Linked DNA regions of Danio rerio. The protein of the gene in region 1 interacts with the protein of each later gene in a biochemical or structural test. Links are inferred from orthologs where the notes say so. Each region holds a gene or a part of one and is shown in the gene's direction. Other genes may lie near its edges. The genes, in order: xrcc1, pnkp, aptx and polb.

Region 1 (5,762 bases):
TGGCACGTTTTGCACTCACACTACAAGTGTGAAACGGGGAACGGGCCTGGGCACGGTACGAATGGCATAGTGTGAGTAGGCCCTTAGTGTCTTCGTTGGTGAGTAAACTCAAAACTAATCCTCTAATTCGGAGTTTTGTTTAGCCACAAATACGATACAGGCTCCTGACCTCAGTTGAGAGCAAAAAAACTTACTGAAACTTACTGAAAGAAGGCAGACATGTTTGGTGAAATCATTCAAAAGTGACTTGAACAACTTATGGGAACATTCAGTTTATAAAGATCTTCTTATTCTGTTCTATTAAAACTGAGTCAACATTATGAACATTATGTTATATCACATGTGGGGTTTTGTGCATTTCAAGGCTGATGTATTTATAAATCACTGAAGGGAACTGAAAGTCTTTTAGGTCTGAGGACAATGACGATATTAACATTTTTTGAAGACTAAGACATGCAGCAAGACTGAGGCTTATTTTGTTAAACAGAAAGGCCAATCTGGGCCTGCAATGGAAAAAACAGGACATAGTGTGTGTCTTATGAGTGTGAAACCAGTCAAGGACATTCTGAAGAAGACAGAGGAGAAAAGCAACAGCACATTTCTGTAGAAAACTTTGAGTTTTTCAGATGTTCATGTTCGGTGTATTATTCTGTGCTCAGAGTTGAGAGAAACAGGAGAGACACAGGCTAAATTTACCTTGAAAATAAAACATGCTCTGAAACTACTGAACCTTTCTTTTGTGAATGAATGAATGAATAAATGAACAAATCATAAATAAATAAATAAAAATATCAATCACCTAATAAGGAGAGTGAATGAGCAAAATAAATAATTCAATGATGAATTATGAATGAGCGAACAATTAATTAATTAAGGGAAAAAAATTATGAATAATTAAATGAATGACTGAATTAATAAAGGAACAGTAAAACCAAAAGTAATTAAATCATTTAACAATTAATTAACAAATAATTATATGAATGAATGAATGTAGAAACAAATACATAAAAAGTACATAAACACATTATTCACCAAAAAAGGAGAGTGAATGAGCAAATGAACAATTCATTTAATGAATGACTGAACAATGAATGAAATGAATAAATGAAAAATAACGAAAGATTAATTAAGTGAATGAACGGTGAATCAAAATGTATTAAATGATTGAACAAGGAATAAATAATTGAATGAATGAAGGAACGAATAAACAGATAAATAAAAATAAGTACATAAACACATTAATGACCAAATAAGGAGAGTGAATGAGCAAATGAATCAAAAATTTAATGAATGAATAAATAATGAATGAACAGTTAATTAAATGAACGAATGAAAAATAATTAATAATTAATTAAATGAAGGAGCAGTGAATCAGAAATTATTGATAATAATTTGAATGAATAAATGAATGAATGAATGAATGAATGAATGAATGAATGAACGAACGAATGAATGAATGAATAAAGAAATAAAAAATAAGCACATAAACACAATGCAATTGTTATTAATGAATACATTAATAATTTAAATGAATAATTGAACAAATAAAGAAATAAAAAGTAAATAAACAAAGCAAATGAATAATTGAATGAATGAATGAATGAATGAATGAATGAATGAAAAATAATGAAAGATTAATTGAATGATTGAAGAGTAAGTCAAAATTATTAACTAGATGGTTAAACAAGGAATAAATTAATAAATATTTTAATGAATGAATGAATAAAAGTGAGTACATAAACACATTAATAACCAAATGAGTGAACGATAATTGATTTTTATAACTAATTTAAAAACTAAAGAATGAGTGAAGAATGAATCAAATGAATGAATGAAAAATAACTAATGATTAAATGCATGAATGAACAGTGAATCAAAATTAATTAATTATTAATTATTAATTAATTAATTGTTGTACAAATTAATGATTGAAAATTTATAATATAAAATAATTAATATAAGTCTAATATAAATCAGATTAATATAAATCAAGTAAAATAATCCATCTTCTGTTTGATTCTGACTTTTATTCTAAAGTCGAGAACGTGACATTCTGCCTCACAGGCGCTGATTGGTCGGCAGGCGGAAGTGACGTCGCGTGTTGTGGATTGAGAGGGAGTTTGTACGCGCGCTTGTGAAACTCTCTCACTCAGACTGGAATAAAGCTCAGAAGCGGCTTCAGCTCTGTTTGGATTTCGGTAAAGTGATGTTGAATCCATCAGAATGCGTATCTAAATATTTTTAGCCGCTTTTCTGGCATTTAATGGCGGTTCTGAAGCGCCTCTATTGTTTGCTCTGGTTAACTCGATCAGGCGGACTCTGCTAACTAGACCGAATAACAGTAAATTACTATAATTATCCGATTCATTAGTTTGTATTTTTATTTCATAAATCAGTCCACACGTCATGCTTTTTGTGTCAAATATTTCAGATTATTATGTAACGTAATGTGTTGTATAACAGCACACTTATTGTGTCTTAATACTGAAATATTGATGTGTTTTGACTGCTCATGTAGTATATATTTATGTCATATTGCCGCTATTTTCGCTCAATTAATCATCGTTACTAGAATTTTTCACTCTTAATTGATTCTATGCATGTTTAGAGTAAGGCTGGTTTGATTTGATGCTGTCTCGTTCAAGTGAATCGATTCAGTGAACTGATTCGAATACCTTATTCGCGATTTTTATTAGTTTGAATTTGAATTATTTTTGGAAATTCAAAAATCAATAAACACTAGTGAAAAGTCATGAAAATGAATGCTTAAAATTGTACGACATACTTTATTTTTAGCTTTTATAAACATGAAATATGATAATTCTTTGAAATTGTTTGTCTTGTTCAGTGTTTTCAGGTTTTTTGGGTCTTCATTTTTTGTTTATTTGTGAGGAAAATCAAGGTGTTAATGTTTGTAATTTATGCTTTTACGTCTCATTGATGGTAATATAGCTACATTATGCAATGTTCATGTGAGTCGATTCAGTGAACCGATTCGTATATTAATTCGCAATTAAGTCTGAACTGAGATGAGTTCTTCATTCTCTCAACAAAAACTACTAGGAAAAAGTATGTCACATGGCTGAGCTTTATCTTATGGTTTCTGTTAACATGATAATTAATGACTAATGAAGTCATGTCTTCGCTTTTTCAGGTTTATGAGCAACGATTCAATTGTTTGATTCAGAGAACATGCCTGAACTCAAACTCAAGCATGTCGTGTCCTGCAGCAGTGAAGATAATGTAAGAATTCTGTTACACTATTGATATTAACAACATTTACTGACACTTAACAATCAACACACAAACCTGAGAACTAGACTGATTCATTGATTCAGCTGAATCTATTGACTCATTGGTTTGAACCGAGTCACTGAACTTGAAATGCAGTAGGGCTGTAGATGTTCAAAAATAAAATCAGAAATTGGGATACCTTGCATTAAATATATCACGATATGAATACAGTTTCACTAAATGGCTTGAAGAGCTCTATTTAGGAACAGTTCATTAAATTGATTGGAAATTGATTGGAATGATTCTCCAAGGCTGTGTTTCCCAACCCTGTTCCGGGAGGCACCCCAACAACTTTATATTTTAGTTGTTTGCAACAAGACAAATGGTAGTTAAATTAGATTAATAACAGGATCCTGATCACCAATTAAAGAGTTTGTTCTTGATTGTTTACTTTTTCTGCACAGACTCATAAAGCAGACAACCTCTTGAGCTCCGACACTTACAGAAAATGGAAAGCTGCGAGACCTGGAGAAAAGCAAGTTTCTGTCATCCTTCAAGTATGTCTGACTTATTTTTGTTAATTATTATTATTATTATTTATTTTAAAATTGTTCTTAAGTTAGTTTCAAATTAACAACATATTAAATATATTATTATTATTATTATTTTAATAACATTTTTATTTATTTAATGTATATTATTATTATTTTAAGATGCCTTAATGCCACTTGCAGATGTTTTTTTAACCTGCATGTCTTGTTCCTCCAGTTGGAAAAGGAAGAGCAAATTCACAGCATAGACATTGGAAATGAAGGCTCTGCTTTCATCGAGGTCCTTGTCGGACACTCCACGTCTGTCAAAGATCAAGACTTTGAGGCGAGTCTTAAAGTTTTGAGCTTTTCATTTTTGCATCTTATGAAAACATGTTAGTTTTAGTGAGTTTTGTCTTCAGTCAGTTTTATTAGCATGCATTTTTACAGAGTCATAATGTTAGTGTGTAGTGTATTGATATTTTCATGTCTCATGGATGGTAATATAGCTAGATTAAGCAGTGATGTATACAGTCAATCAGTTGTTGAGGTTTCCTGTATGTCTGTGTGTGTATGTTTGTACATATATTGCGTTTTGCAAAAGAGTATTATTTTAAATAAATACTACTAGTGTGTGTGTATGTTTGTGTGTGTGTGTGTGTGTGTGTATATATATATATATATATATTTATATATATATATATATATATATATATATATATATATATATATATATATAGTTTTATTATTATTATTATTTGTTTTTTAATAATACAAAATATTATAATAAATAATAAAATATATTAATAATAAATAATAAAAATTTAAATATGTATATGTATATATATATATATATATATATATATATATATATATATATATATATATATATATATATATATATATACATACATACATCATTTTATTATTATTTTTTTTTTTAAGTTTAGAGTTCTGATTCATTCATTTTTATGTTAATTTTAATCATTGAAATTATTGTAAAATTTTATTTATTTTTAAAATATTATATAATTGCTGTTTAAAAGAGCAAGAAAATGTTCACAGTATTTAATATATAATTATATTATAACCTTGTAATATTTTTCTTTTGGAGAATGTCTTGCTATTAGTTTTGCTGGGGGGGAAAATAATAATAATAAAAAAAATATATAAATATGTATATATATATTAATAAATGTATTTTAAAGTTGTCCAATGACTTGCCTAATTACCCTAGTGAAGCCTTTAAATCTCACTTTAATCTGTATAGAAGTGTCTTGAAGAATATCTAGTCTAATAATATTTACTGTCATCATGACAAAGATAAAATAAATCAGTTATTAGAGATGAGTTATTAAAACTAATACGTTTTAAAGTGTTATATGGAAATATGGCATATGTAAATGGCAATAATTAAAATTATTTAAATTTAAAGGGGTCTTCAATCCATTTTGCCATTAAATAGCCACAAGTTGCTGATGTGGCAATAAATAAAAATAGGAGTCTTCAACTAAAATAGATATAAACCGCATGTTTACTCTTCTGCATTGTTTTGTAGGTTCTGCTGGTCACATCGTCCTTCATGTCGCCCACTGAGAGCCGAAACGGCACAAACACAAACCGTGTGCGTTTCTTCGGGCCCGGTCAGCTGGTGAAGGCGCAATCACAGGAGAAGTGGGATCGCGTGAAGATCGTCTGCAGTCAGCCCTACAGCAAGGTCAGGGGGAAAAACTTAGCACACCATAATCATAGTTTTCAGTCTTGTGATGAGCTTTTCAATCATTCTGGAGGAGTTTTGGAGTTGTCTGCACAGCTTTTCAGCATTTAAATGTAACATTTTAAGTATCAATTGACATTAAAGAGCACCTTTTATGCAAATCACTTTTCTAAGGGGTTTAAACACAGTTGTGGGTCAGCAGTGTATGAATATCTCCAGCCTCTAATGGTAAACATTAGATCAAATCACACTTGATAAAACCAGTCTGCAGAAACACTTTG
Region 2 (4,515 bases), on another chromosome or scaffold:
AAACAAAATTGGCCATAGTGTATAAGTGTATGTGTGAATGCAAGAGTCTATGGGTGTTTTCCAATACTGGGCTGCAACTGGAAGGGCATCCGCTGTGTAAAACATATGCTGGAATAGTTGCTGGTTTATTCCACTCTGGTGACCCCAAATAAATAAAGGACTAAGCTGAAGGAAAATAAATGAATGAGTAAACATACAGGTTGCTATTAATGATCAGGGATGTGCAAATATAAGTTAACATAATATACAGGTTGTTATTTGCTATAAACAGTATTTTGGGTGTGAATTGCACAAAAATGTTTGATTGTTGTGTAAAAAAATCAACAAATGAGAATTCTTCAGTTATCCACCAATTTGCCACATTGTAAAATAATCATGAAACTATTATAAAAGTGTATTGATTAAGATATCTCTTTTAAATTGCAGGACACAATGGGCTCGTGGCAGCACTGTGTATCAGCTTGTGAACGTGCGCTAAAGGAAGGCAAAAGCGTAGCGGTGGACAACACTAACCCGGATCTAGAATCTAGAAAAAGGTGCCAGCCATTTCCAGAGCAGATGGATGCTTTTTTTTTTTTTTTTTTTTTTTTTTTAAACTTCTGGCCTTTTTATTGGCACCTAAATTGTGGAACTCTTTACTGATACAGATATTTGCAATGCAGAATCCCTGAGTATTTTTAAATCATCTCTTAAAACTCACCTTTTTATTTATTTATTTTTTATTTTTCTATTTTCTATTATTTTTCTATTTCTATTATATATTATTATTATTATTATTATTATTATTAATTTTTGATTTTTAATAAAAATTTTTATTGCACGTTTTTGCATTTATCCTTGTACTGCAGGGAAAGTATTGAACACGTCATGTTTTTTCTTGGGAATGACATTTCTAAAGGAGCTGTTCACGTGGAATTAAACCAGATTTTGTTAAAAAACTCAAACAATACAAGCATAAAACAAAACAAACAAAATCTGAAAAATTGTTATATGTAATAAAAATGAAATGACACAAGGAGAAAGTACTGAACTACTGGAATTTATTTAATGTTTTAAATTAAAGGCTTTTTAAATGATGGCAGCTTAAAGACACCTCTCACATATGGAGAATGAAGTCACATGCATTGCTCAGGTGTTTTTTTACAGATTTCAACAGTGTAAAAATCTTGAAGGTTCTGTGGGTCTCATCAATCAAATCTGATCTTTATTTTGTATAATCTATTGTATTTAAGTCAGGTGATTGGCTGGGCCATTATACAGCTTAATTTTCTTTCTCTGAATCTATTTGAGAATTTCCTTGGCTGTGTTTTAATCATTGTCTTTGCATATATGGGTTTGTTTAGTTGTTACCAATATCTGGGGAAAATTTCAAGTCAACAGCACCTTTAGAAATATGTTTTTGAGAAGAATGGTGGTGTTCAATACTTATTTTTCCACACTATGTATGTTTTTTTTGCTTCACATTTTACATGTCTTGAGATGTGACTATTAAAGGCGCCATATAAAAAAAAAGGTTTATTATTATTATTATTATTATAAAATTCTATCATATATGATTTTCAGATATATAGATGTGGCTCAAAGCGCTGGTGTTTCCTGCAGATGCTTCAACTTTACAGCCAGTCTGGATCAAGCAAAGCATAACAACAGGGTATCCGTCTTAACTGCAGTACATTAAATATAAAACTTTGCTTGGGCAAAATTATATAATAAAATTTTAAGCAGCAATCACTTTATTTTTCTTTTGGAAACTCTGTATCTTGACTTAAAATATGAAGGCAGAAATGCACACTCACTCTGATTGTCACACTTTCTTATCTGTCTTTTTTCCTGTCTTCAGTTTCGTGAGATGGTTCCTTCTGCAACTAAGCATGTTCCTGTCAATGACATGGTGATTCACAGCTACAAGTGAGTAAAAGAGCAGCAAGATGAGGTTATTGCAACCAAGATTATTGTTTTATTTCACTGAAACCATGTTGTTATCTAATATACAGCAGGTAAATGAACTAAAACTGGCATAAAATACATTGAAAACTTATTTAATTTCTGTTTGCCTAGGAAATATGTATTGTTTTCATTTAGCTTAATGTACTAAAATAGCAAACTATATTAAATCAATAAAAAATGTTCAATTCAACTCTAAATAAAATATTGTCTCATTACTGACTAAATTTATTGGCATAAATCTAAAACCATTATATTCCTTGAAATTGAATAATTGAAAATGTATTACAAATACTAAACAAACGAATAAGTATTGAATACGCTATGTTTTCTCCTAAGAATAATATTTCTTAGGGAGCTGTTGACATGGAATTGAAGCAGATTTTGGTCAAAACCCAAACAATACAAACATAAAAGTAAAACAAAACAAAAAAATCTGAGAGAGTTTCCTTGGCTGTGTTTTGGGACATTTTCTTGCTAAAATGTCCACTCAGGTTTCATTGTTATCATCCTGCTAATATAGATGTTGGACTAGAGCAGCTAATATTAATTTACAATGATGAAGGGCAGAGGGTTGCTGAAGAACTACAGAGATTTCAGCTGCTGTCTGGGCTTTCACCGCCTTTCTACACCTTCCTTTCTTCATGTGTTTAATACTTTTTCCCTGCATCATTTCATTTTATTACACATAACTTCATTTGTAAACTAATTAGATCTGTTTTGTGTGTATATATGGATTTCTTTTGTTGTTTTCAACATCCGGGGAACAAATCAAGTCAACGGCACCTTTAGAAATATGTTTTCTGAGAAAAATGGTGGTGTTCAGTACTTATTTTTCCCACTGCATGATACATGTTATGTTCCAGCTGCTAAGGGAATGGCTTATTTTCATTTACTTTAACTAAAAAAAGATTTGTTTATAAAAATTATTATGGTTAACTAAATATAGAACTATTAAACTAAATCCATTTTTTTTAAACGTTAAATACATGTATAAATAAAACACTGTTTTGTTCTTTTTAGGAAAAAGTTTGTGGTGCCCAGCTTGTCTGAGGGCTTTTCTGAAGTCCTGCAGATCCATTTTGTGCCCAGTTTCAGTGACAAAAGGTCAGAGTTCCTGTTCAAGCAATTCTCTGAGGGCTGAAGAGTGAAACTTGTGAGAAAAATCATGAAACACAATGGCTGACTCTAATTTGTGAAGAAAATTCTAGAACCTCATTTAAAATCAGAACATTAGTGCCAGTACAAGACTAATTATTATATTTTATTGTCTTCTTTAGGTGATTAAACTTGTCTTTAATGCTAGTTTTTAAATGTGGTGTTTGGGAAATGCATTCATGGCTGCTAAAACTGACGGGCTGTAAAGACAATAGAATTAAAATTGTCTTTTATGTATATTATTTTTTAAACTGGAGAAATAATTGCTTGTTTCAGATTGACATTCGCAATAAATACAATTAATATGCTTCAATATTGAAGTTTTTTTTTTCTTGTCTACAAAACATTTTTGTTTACTGCAAGATCTCAGAAATCAGAGAAAGCTCATCCTCTAAATGTTGTGTTTGTGTGTAACTCAATGTTTTTACCACAAACAGTGACTGTAGAACTGATGGGAGTGTGTCAATTGATGATTCCTTATCAGTTTTTCAACTTCTCACATTGTTTCTTAAACATAATTGAGTAATTATGGCTCAACACATGAGTTTGCATCAGTTTAAATGTGGCGTAATACTGCAGGTCATTAAAACACAAATATCTCCATTGTAAGAAAAAAAGATAATTAAATAAAATAATAAAATAAATAAACTGCAGACACTACAAAACAGTGGATAAACATACCGTATTAGTAATATTTTGCAAGTTTCTGCATTTGGTTTTTGTGTTTTGGGACATCTGCAGTTAAATTCACATAAAATTTTATGATATTCTACTTTTAATATGAGTTGACCACTTTTTTTGCATCAATAACAGATTTCCACAAAGTTTAGAAGTGTGTTTAGGGCAATTTTTGGCCATTGTCTAGAAGTGTATTTTTGAGGTCAGGCAATAATGGTAGATGAAAAGGCCTGGCAACATTTGTGCCAAAGGTGTTTTATTGGGTTAAGTTCAGGACTCTGTGCAGGCCAGTCAAGTTCCTCCAAGCCAATTCCACCCATTAATTTTTTTTTATGGATCTTTTGCACTGATATGCTGTCAAAAGTTCAGAAGAGGCATCCCAAGACTGTTTAATTGAAATTATCTATAATAATTTGATATGTTGAAGCATTAACAGTTACTTTCACTGGAACTAAAAACACTATTTGTATACATATATATATATATATATATATATATATATATATATATATATATATATATATATATATATATATATATATATATATATATACATACATATATATATATATACATACATATACATACATACAGTACAGTTGAAGTCAGAATTATTAGCCCTCTTTTGATTTTTTTTCTTCTCTTTTTAACATTTGCCAAATGATGTTTAACAGAGCAAGGAAATTTTCACAGTACGTCTGATAATATTTTTTCTTCTGGAGAAAGTCTTATTTG
Region 3 (5,608 bases), on another chromosome or scaffold:
ATAATTGCAATCGATTAATTATGATTATTATTATTAGTAGTAGTAATAGTATTTATTAATTGTAGTATTAGTAATTAGTAGTAGTAGTATTATTAATAATTTTCCCGGGTTGCAGCTGGAAGGGATCCGCTGTGTAAAACATATGCTTGATAAGTTGGCGGTTCATTCCACTGTGGCGACCCCTAATTAATAAGGGACTAAGCCGAAAAGAGAATTAATGAATACAAATTAATTTTCTTATCAGCTAAGTCCTTTTATTAATTAGGGATCGCCACAGCGGAATGAACCGCCAACTTATCCAGCATGTTTTTTTAGGAAGAGGATGCCCTTCCTGCTGCAACCCATCTCTGGGAAACATCCACACACACTCATTCACACTCATACACAACAGACAATTTAGTCTACCCAATTCACCTGTACTGCATGTCTTTGGACTGTGGGGGAAACTGGAGCACTCGGAGGAAACTCACGTGAACGCAGGGAGAACATGCAAACTCCACTGAAACGCCAACTGACCCAGCCGAGGCTCAAACCAGTGACCTTCTTGCTGTGAAGCAATTGTGCTACCCACTGTGCCACTAAATGTAACCAAAGAAAACAAAATCAACAAAATGAATGTTGAATAAAATTAAATGAAATAAAAGCGGTTGGCTAATAATGTAGAGATTTTGTGTAATTTGTTATGGAAAATAAAGTATTTGCATTAAAATGGAAAAAACTAAATAAAAAAAAGCTACAATAAATGTAGGTTACTTAATAGCCTACTGTAATCTGTAATAAAATAAATTAAAACAAAGTCAAATGTCCTGCTTATATATATATATATATATATATATATATATATATATACATATATATATATATACATACACACAATTTTATTTATATACATATATATTATATATACATACATACACACACGCACGCACACATATTTATATATATATATATATATATATATATATATATATATATATATATATAATAATAAAATTGTATTATTTATTAAAACAATATAAAATGGATTCACTAACTGTCTAGGGATGTTGTTGTGTAATTTGCTACAATAAAATATCATTTTTTAATAAAAATAAAATAAAAAGTGGTCGGCTATTTTTTTTATCAATTTATTATTTATTAGGAACATAATAACTTGTGGTGAACTAAACGATGGTGCAGTGGGTAGCATGTTCGCCTCACAGCAAGAAGGTTGCTGGTTCAGTCTCGCCTGAATCAGTTGGCATTTCTGTGGAGTTTGCTTGTTCTCCCCCTGTTCGTGTGGGGTATCTTGACAGTCCAAAGACATGTGGTACAGGTGACCTGGATATGCTAAATCTGATCATAGTGTATGTGTGTGAATGAGTGTGTATGGATGTTTCCCAGAGATGGGTAGTAACCATGGGTAGTACCGCTGAGTAAAACATATGCTGGATAAGTTGGCGGTTCATTCCGCTGTGGCGACCCCTGATTATGAAAGAGAATAAGCCGAAAAGAAAATGAATGAGTGAATAATTACTTGCCTTAAAATAAAAACAAAATCCAAATAAATCAACAGTAGGAGCGTTTAAACTGTCTGCATTAAGTAACACTATTCTATACTCTATAAAATTAAACTCCATAAAGTGATGTTATATTATTTTTAAAGTGTAGTTACAGGAAATCTGTCCACAAACTCCACTAAATCTGACGTGTATACATCTACATCTGCTAGATACCTCATACTACATTCCTATATATTATTAAGACACTGTCACTTTATAATACTCATCATATGTACAAGCCTTTTATACTATATACTTTGCATTATAGTGTACTTTTTCCTCTTTATACTGTTTTGCATCTGCACAACTCTGGTTTGCTCTCCTTGCCTTGTGCCCTTAAGTGTAATTGTATCGTGTACAATTTTAATTTTTACTTATATTTTTAGATTATATTATATGTGTAATTGTATTTATTTTAATATCTTTTTTAAAATTCTACTTTTTGAATTAACATCATCTTTTTTGTATTAACATTATCTGTTAGGCACCTAGGTAAGATTAGTTCACGTCATCTTTCAGCCAGTAGTTGGCAGCAAGCGCGCATGACGTGCTGTTTGTTGACACCAACGAACAAGAGCGAGCGAGCGAGCGTCATGTGTTGCACTTTTATGTTTACGACTACCACACTTTTTTCTACCGTAGCTTTATTACACTAACACAGTAAGTAACGAACATAAGTGGGTTTTAGAAAAGCACCGTAGACTATATGTATACGCAATAGCATTATAACGTGTAATATGGTGTGTGTTTTCAGGAGATGCCTGTGTGTTTACTAGTAAGTGAAGATAATTCACACAAACCCATTGAGCTCCATCACCAACAGTCTGTGACTCTGGGTCGAGGACCAGACACTAAGATAAAAGACAAGAAGTGCTCTAGAGAACAAGGTATTTTTGCATATAAAAAGCAAATAAAAAAACGGCCTCTTTATTTTAGAAATACAACGTCTTTTCTTTTTTGCAGTTGAATTGAGAGCTGATTGCAACAGGGGATTTGTCACTGTTAAACAGGTCTGCTGGAGAATTATAATATCAAAGCAAATATTAATACAATATATACTGAGCTGAAATATATGTCAAATAATGCAAATTAGTTTTCAATACCACAAAAAAAAGTTTATTTCTTGGTGTAAAGTTGGTTTTATATTTTGACTTTCTCCTTTAATAATAAATTAAAATACTTGTTACTCACCAAAATGGATTTGAACCAGATATTTTATTATAACAGCCTTTTAGAAGTTAATTTATAAAACGTAATAACGTTTGAACCTGTTTATTTGATGTTTTTAATAGCTGGGTGTGAATCCGACACTTGTGGATGATGTGGTTGTGGGCAAAGGCAATCAGGTACAGTGTTTTTAAAATATTCTGAAAAAGTATTTAATATACGGACTAGGGCTGCACGATTCTGGCAAAAATGTGAATCACAATTTTTAAAATTTTTTTTTGCTTAAAATCAAGATCACGATTTTCTCACGATTCTGTAAATGTAAAATAAAGGTTAATAAGTTTAGCCTATTATTAAACATATGGTAAAACAACAACAACAATTATAGACCCATGTGTAGCTCTACTGTTGCTTAAAATGCAAAATTTTGTATAGTCATTATCCTAGACTTGAGCAGACTTCCAATATGTCCTGTTTGTTAATTCACAGTAACAGCATGACTTTATATTCTATACTGTACATTATTTCTGTTAAGTGACAAGACTGTTGTCTAAGCAAAGTCAGACCTTACTGTCCTAATGAAATCATTAAAAATCAAGGCATGATCATATTTTATTTTGGTAAAATAATCATAATTTAGAGTCATTTGCCTTTCATACAAACCAATTGTGATACTAAATGATCAACTATAAGTCAAATTATTACTTAACTTGGATACAAGACAAGATTTTTTTGAGGTAGTGTGTGTGTGTGTGTGTGTGTGTGTGTGTGTGTGTGTGTGTATATATATATATATATATATATATATATATATATATATATGTATGTGTGTGTGTGTGTGTGTGTGTGTATAGATATATTTATATGTATTTATGTATGTATATCTATGTATGTATGTACATATATATATATATATTTATATATATATATATATATATATATATAAATATAATGGTATAATATATGTAATTTTAATACAAGTTTTATTAAGTTAACACAAGGCAAAGTAAAAATGAAAATTGTACATTATTATTATAAACATCAGACACATAAACAGTAGTATTTGCTTCGATAAAATATTCTATGAACACATTTACAACATCTAAAATGCCAAGTATTTTTTATTTTTTTTTTAATATCTGATAAGATGCAATTATTATTTTATTCAGCTTCTAGCAAACCAGCTGTGTCGATAATTGTCCGGTTGTCTTGTAATTGAGGCTGTATTGCACAGGTCTCTGGTCTGCTTAACATCACACAAACCAAATGTCGCCCACCTCTGCAAGCAGGTGAGCATAAAGCCGGGTCAGAGACTCTACATGGTCAATCAGCAGTATCCTTACAGTGTGAAGTTCACGGAGGACACGTCCAGATCCAAACCCTCCAAAAGAGCCCAGCAGATCCAGAGCCCTACAAAAACAACAGCAGATGTGTCAGACAGCCCACCTCCACCCAAAAAAACAACACCACCTGCTGGTGAAAAATCGGTGAGTTTCTTTTAGATGTATAGGTTGGGAAGTTTCAGTATTTATGCAATAGGAGTATACAGTGCTCGGCATAAATGAGTTTGCAAAATGAATATTTTTATCAATTTCTCAGTGAATATATGTCATATTTTGGTGCATTTGACCAAAACAGATTTATTAAACAGATATATGTATTGAAATAATATTTTAGTCACTGAACATCTGTAGTAATAGAAAGATAAAACATGCAAAAACAATTACAAACTACAAAAATTTCAACAAAATTGTATATATTTATTTGTTTATTTTGTATATAATATTATTTTAGATTTATTTTTTCAATGTGTATGTAATATTTTCCCCTAGTATATACATTTGTTTTTTTTTTGGAGTGTTATCATAAGTTATTTTGTTAGATAAGCTCCAGATTTCGGTACTGAATAATCTATAATATAATATTGTAAAGCTTCCTAGAGAAAATATGAATTCAAAAGAGAGATCTGTGAGATATTTTACTCATATATGCTCTATTATAATGGTTGCACTTAAAGTTTTCATTAAGTAATGTATTTACCAACATGATCTAATAATGAACAATAATTGTGCATCATTTATTAATCACAGATTTACTAGATTATTATTAAAATGCAAATTCATTCTTGTTAGGATTAGTTAATGTACTGAGTGAACTATGAAAAACTGTATTTCTATCAACTAAAATGTAACAAAGATCAATAATACTGTTATAAATGTGCTGTTTGTTATTAAATACATGAATGAATATGACCTTATTTCAAAGTAAGTCTCTTAAAATAAAGTGCATTATATGATTTTCAAGTGCTTTTGCTTTAAATTAATATTTGCCATGAGGTTGGAGAAAACTTTAAAGGTCTTTATTTAAGATTTATGTTGAAATGCTGATGTATTTTACCACATTTAAAGTGTTGATTTTGGACTAAAACAGTGGAAACCCCTCTGTTTTGAAGGAGTCTGCTGGGCACTGGAGCCAAGGACTTAAAGCGTCAATGCAGGACCCCAAAATGCAGGTTGGAGTGTGTTATTATATTATAATATATTGATATTATATGGTTATATGGTTGAAAACAAAATTATTAGCCATCCTGTGAAATTTTATATTATTTTTAACTTGCCAAGTTAACCTAATTAACCTGGTTAAGCCTTTAAATGTCATTTTAAGCTAGTATCTTGAAAAATATCTGGTCAAATATTGTGCTGTCATCATGGCAAAGATAAAAGAAATCAGTTGTTAGAAATGAGTGATTGAAACTATGGTTTAGAAAAATCCTCTCTCTGTTAAAAAGAATTCAGAGAAAACATACACAGGAGGGCTAATAATTATGTATATTGAGCCTAACAGCTGTCATGCATGTTGTGTTCAGGTGTATAAAGACGACAGCGTGGTGGTAATCAAGG
Region 4 (5,073 bases), on another chromosome or scaffold:
ATAAATTATAGTGAATGTGAAATAAAACATGTTTTTTTTATTCTTCAGGGTGTGTGTCAGCTGCAGAAAGAAAAAGAAGAAGAGGAGGAGGAGGAGGAGTCTTTACACCGCCGTATTGATATCAGGTACTTTTGAGTTATTTTACTATCATTGGTATTATATTATTGATATTATTATATTTATGATGTTAATATTATATTATTAACATCTTGAGGTAGTTTTTATTTTTGCAGTTTCTGTTTTTTGTTAAATTTAGAATTATTGGCTTTAGTGATCTTGCATTTATTGTTTATATATATATATATATATATATATATATATATATATATATATATATATATATATATATATATATTTATGTAATTTCTGTATTTATGTGTTTTTCTAAATAATTGCATGTGTATATAGGTTTTATTTCTTTGTTTAATACTTTGTTAATTTATTCCTTTGCCTTGACAACATCAACTAAAACTGATAATAACTAGGTACTTTCTGTCTTCTAAACCAGTGTTTCTCAACCATGTTCTTGGAGGACCACCAGCACATTTTCCATGATTTTTAACCAAACACACCTGATTCAGATCATCAGCTCATTAGCAGAGACTGAAAGACCTGTAATGGGTGTATCAGGCAATGGAGACATCCAAAACATAGCGGTGGGCCTCCAGGAACATGGTTGAGAAACACTGTTGTAAATGTTTTATGAAATGCTGTGATGCGACTGTTTTATACAATTTTACCATTATTTTTCATGCAACAAAAGAGGTTGTGTTTAAGCATGATGATTATGATTTTTATTTTTGTGCATGCAAAAGAGACATATTGGATTATTAAATTCGCTATAATTTCACACCACCAGATTTGACACCACCAGATTCGTTTAAATACAACAAAGTTGCCTATGATTTTAACCTAAAATAAACATTTTACACTGAAGATTTTGCCCATCACTACAACTTAAATGTAAAATGAACTTAAATATATGAACTTAAATCTGAAGTGAACTTAAATATAAAATTATATTACAAATGATCAGTCTAGAATCTCATACTATTATTCAGATTTTTAGAATCCACAACCAAACAGGAAAACATCCGGTTTTATCATAAAACATCACAAGAGGAAATAGTCATATGTATTTTTTTCCTGCATTTTCCTCACATCTCTTTCTCTGTATCTGCAGGCTTATCCCTAAAGATCAGTATTACTGCGGTGTGCTGTATTTCACCGGCAGTGATATATTCAACAAGAACATGAGGACTCACGCACTAGAGAAAGGCTTCACGCTCAATGAGTACACCATCCGTCCACTGGGCGTCACTGGTGAGACACACACAACCGCACACATTTACAGCACAGGACAGAAACTGTGTCCATCTGACAGTCTAGTGTGAGCTGTGTCTAAAGCCACACACACTTGTTCACTCATTCACTAATCTTAATCCGCTTGTTAAGTGGTGACGTATGAAATACTGTTTCCGGGTCCAAGCCACTGAATTGAAAAAATATTTGTTTATGACCACTTTTTAGTCCTATCACACATTAAAGTGAATTTTATATTAAATCATGGTGTACACAACAGTCTCTGGACTTGCTGCATCTCAGACACCAATATTTTAACAATTTATAAAAAATTCATCACTTTCTGGCCATTGGATAATAGGCATATATATATATATATATATATATATATATATATATATATATATATATATATATATATATATATATATATATATATATATATATATATATATATATATATATATATATATATGAGCAATATCACACAAGTAGCATTCGTGCGTTGGCACGAGGCCGCAGGCCGAGTGCCTTAGTGCCCCCACCAGTGCTGATATACAGCCATATTGCACTGCTACGAGTGTGATATACAACAGTTTGATGGCATAATTGTGTATATAAAAACAAAATCAAACATGGAGAGTCTTAAAAACCCTTTTGTATGAGGAACTACTTTCTTTCACGTTGGATACAAATCATAAGCTGACAGTTAAACAGTTGAGCAAGCATCTTTTAAACTTTAGATCTGCTTTTTGCTGGCTGTATGTGGGCGGAGTAATACACAAAGCGTAAAGAGGCTGTACGGGTGCTGATATTACTTAAATATATTACGGCTATCAGCCAATCAGATTCAAGAACCAGACAGAACTGTTGTGTATATATATATATATATCGCGCTCATGATTTTCAAAAGTATTGCAACGCTTTGAAAATATTTGATATAGCGCTTGGACCCGGAAGCCGCTTCGCGTGACGTCACATTTAACAAGCGGATATAGTGTAGTGCAGTTGAGTTACCTGGATTAGGAAAGAAAACAAAAATGAGTGTGTGAATTCAGACAGTGACATAGTGTGAGCCACAGACTGGTTCATCATGAACTTTACACACATATATATATAATGTTTTTTTTTTTTTTTCTTTTATAATTTTCTTATTATTTGGCAGTCCTTATTATTTGTTAACAAAGAACAAAAACACCTTCCTGTCATGTACTTTTTTGAATTAAAAACAAAACTCATTTCATATTTATATGCTTATAAAGCATGTACATATACAATATAGTGGGCAACACGGTGGCTAAGTAGTTAGCCCTGACAGCAAGAGGGTCGCTGGTATGAGTCCCAGCTAGGTCAGTTTGCTTGTTCTCCCCGTGTTGTTGCGGGTTTCCACCATGTGCTCGGTTTCCCCCACAGTCCAAACACATGGACTATAGGTGAATTGGGTAGTGAATGAGTGGGTATGGATGTTTTCCAGTACTGAGTTGCATCTGGAAGGGCATCCGCTGTGTAAAACGTATGCTGGAATTGTTGGCGGTTCATTCCTTGGTTGGGACCCCTGATAAATAAAGGGACTAAGCCGAGGGAAAATGAATGAATGAATGAATGAATGAATGAATGATTATACAATATAGTACACAAACATAATATAAAAAATGCTATAAGAAATAACCTACAACATATACCTGCACAAGTGTATGAACAAATAAAGATTCAGTTAATAATAACGGATAATTCAGTTTTTACGAGCTTTGAGATATGATGTTTTAATGGTGTTCACTGAAGAGTACAATCACAAAAATACATGATTGAAATGCACATTTGATCTGTTTTTGTTTGTTGTAATTTTCAGAGATCACATTTTAAGACTACAACTGAACAAAAAACGTGATTTCTAAAAAATACAATACAGCCTTTTTTTTTCTTCGTTAACTTATTATCTGTGGTTCAGGTGTGGCAGGAGAGCCTCTGCTGGTGGACAGTGAGAAGGACATCTTTGAGTACATCCAGTGGAAATACAGAGAGCCGAAGGACCGCAGCGAGTGAAACAAAAGCACATTAAAGAGCAGACTGTGTGTGTGTTGGTCGTTTAGCTCATAATAGTGTATTTTAATAGTAGAAAAGACATAAAGGGAGTGTCTGTGTTTGAGTTTTTAAACTCACTAAAGCAGCTACATGACTGCTGTTGATGGTGCTTTTTAGTCATAATAGTCATGTATATGATTTTGTTTTAAATACAAGAGTGAAGAAAGAATGTTGTGGTTTTGTCAATACTGTGCTTATAGATATCATATTGTCTCAGATAAAGCAGCAAACATGTCTTTCAGCATACTCCCATGCTAAAATATGAATGAGGATTGTGTGTTATTTAAAGTCTGTATGACCTATTATGATGATATTAAGATATTTTTTGTTGGCATAATAGTCTAGCCGTATTATGAGGATGCAGGATTTCTGTTTAAACATTTGGATCCTCCATTAAAAATACTAAATATCAGTTTTATTTTCTGCGTTTTTTCAAAATGAATCTGAATATTGTACTGTTTTATTATGATATATTGAAGAGAACAGTCTGTCTCATATTGAATAGTATAGATCAGTGGTTCTCAAACTGTGGTAAAACTAGTGGTACGCGGGCTGCTTTCTAGTGGTACGCAAAGTAATCCAATATGTCATATGTACATGCAACATATGTTTCAATGTTTAAAAAATGGTTCATATATGAATATGATGACATATAGTTAGGCCCACACGAAATCTGCTCACGCAGAATTACGCAGATTTTTAGCCCATTATTAAATCTGTTTATTTACTTGAGTAAATCTGAATTTATTCAGTTTTTATTCAGTAATTTATTACTTTTTATTTAATATATTAAGGTTTTAGTTATGATACTCCACTGGATACTCCCAAAATAATTCCGCAGAAATCCGCAGATTTTTACCAAAATTCTCAGCAGAAATAGCAAAAAATGTCTGCAGATTCCGTCTGGCCCTGCATATAGCCTATATTTATGAGGTCCAAGCAGCATTTCCAGGCTTTGATGAATAGGATGCTACAGGTTAACACTTAACACATTTAAGTACAGGAGATTTTTTTTCATTTTTTAACTTTTAAAAGCACATTTTAATTTAAATGTTGCCATGTTATTTTGTTTGTTTGGTTTTTTACATAAAAAAACCCCCAGCAGTGTTAATGTTCAAACGATTTATAAGGTTTAAATAATAAATTTTATTAATAATAGTAATTAATCTCCCACGTTTTTAAACTCTGCAGAGTTGTAGCTGCTTGATTAGGCCTACTACACTACTGTATTTCATGACTGGTCATATGGTGGTACTTGGAGGGACAATTTTTTTAGAGGTGGTACTTGATGTAAAAAGTTTGAGAACCACTGGCATAGATAATATGTTACTGCTAGATATGAGCAATCGCTGCAATGCCTTGAACAACTAAACATGAATGAGAGCAGATCCTTAATATAATCAATTATAAAAAAAACACATCTATTTTTATGTTTAAGTTGTATATGCAGAAACACACACTTGTGTTTAAGCTAAGCATAAAAATCCAAATTTCAAACTGTACTTCAACTGTAAGAGCACACAAAACATTCTCAAAATTCTCACATGTGCAATGCAGTTTGTCATGTTTCTCCAACTTTTTCCTGCTTCTAGTTCTTCTGAAAATAGTTTAAAGGTGATTCATGTTCTGTTGTATTTCAAGCACATTATAGGTTTTTACAAGTGAGTGGGTGTGTGTATGTGAGAGAGA

Evidence for each region.
Region 2: the proteins of xrcc1 (region 1) and pnkp form a complex in vitro, tested with the Homo sapiens proteins (3 studies listed by BioGRID and IntAct, with this or other methods). The link is inferred for Danio rerio from reciprocal best matches to the Homo sapiens genes XRCC1 and PNKP.
Region 3: the proteins of xrcc1 (region 1) and aptx form a complex in vitro, tested with the Homo sapiens proteins (2 studies listed by BioGRID). The link is inferred for Danio rerio from reciprocal best matches to the Homo sapiens genes XRCC1 and APTX.
Region 4: the proteins of xrcc1 (region 1) and polb form a complex in vitro, tested with the Homo sapiens proteins (5 studies listed by BioGRID, with this or other methods). The link is inferred for Danio rerio from reciprocal best matches to the Homo sapiens genes XRCC1 and POLB.

The regions. Positions count from the first base shown.
Region 1 is NC_133191.1:58,599,122-58,604,883, forward strand, and holds the start of xrcc1 (DNA repair protein XRCC1), read left to right. Parts: upstream 1-2,096; 5' UTR 2,097-2,198; exon of another isoform or gene 2,199-2,200; intron 2,201-3,154; 5' UTR 3,155-3,192; coding exon 3,193-3,243; intron 3,244-3,698; coding exon 3,699-3,791; intron 3,792-4,002; coding exon 4,003-4,110; intron 4,111-5,322; coding exon 5,323-5,481; intron 5,482-5,762. UniProt on the Homo sapiens protein: Scaffold protein involved in DNA single-strand break repair by mediating the assembly of DNA break repair protein complexes. Negatively regulates ADP-ribosyltransferase activity of PARP1 during base-excision repair in order to prevent excessive PARP1 activity.
Region 2 is NC_133190.1:16,207,854-16,212,368, reverse strand, and holds the end of pnkp (bifunctional polynucleotide phosphatase/kinase), read left to right. Parts: intron 1-426; coding exon 427-536; intron 537-1,563; coding exon 1,564-1,651; intron 1,652-1,840; coding exon 1,841-1,908; intron 1,909-2,967; coding exon 2,968-3,088; 3' UTR 3,089-3,417; downstream 3,418-4,515. UniProt on the Homo sapiens protein: Plays a key role in the repair of DNA damage, functioning as part of both the non-homologous end-joining (NHEJ) and base excision repair (BER) pathways.
Region 3 is NC_133176.1:55,998,467-56,004,074, reverse strand, and holds the start of aptx (aprataxin), read left to right. Parts: upstream 1-2,134; 5' UTR 2,135-2,201; intron 2,202-2,271; exon of another isoform or gene 2,272-2,295; 5' UTR 2,296-2,298; coding exon 2,299-2,428; intron 2,429-2,504; coding exon 2,505-2,551; intron 2,552-2,833; coding exon 2,834-2,887; intron 2,888-3,689; exon of another isoform or gene 3,690-3,942; coding exon of another isoform or gene 3,943-3,997; coding exon 3,998-4,195; intron 4,196-5,160; coding exon 5,161-5,220; intron 5,221-5,574; coding exon 5,575-5,608. UniProt on the Homo sapiens protein: DNA-binding protein involved in single-strand DNA break repair, double-strand DNA break repair and base excision repair.
Region 4 is NC_133183.1:3,695,634-3,700,706, forward strand, and holds the end of polb (DNA polymerase beta), read left to right. Parts: intron 1-48; coding exon 49-125; intron 126-1,183; coding exon 1,184-1,323; intron 1,324-2,462; exon of another isoform or gene 2,463-3,250; coding exon 3,251-3,345; 3' UTR 3,346-3,800; downstream 3,801-5,073.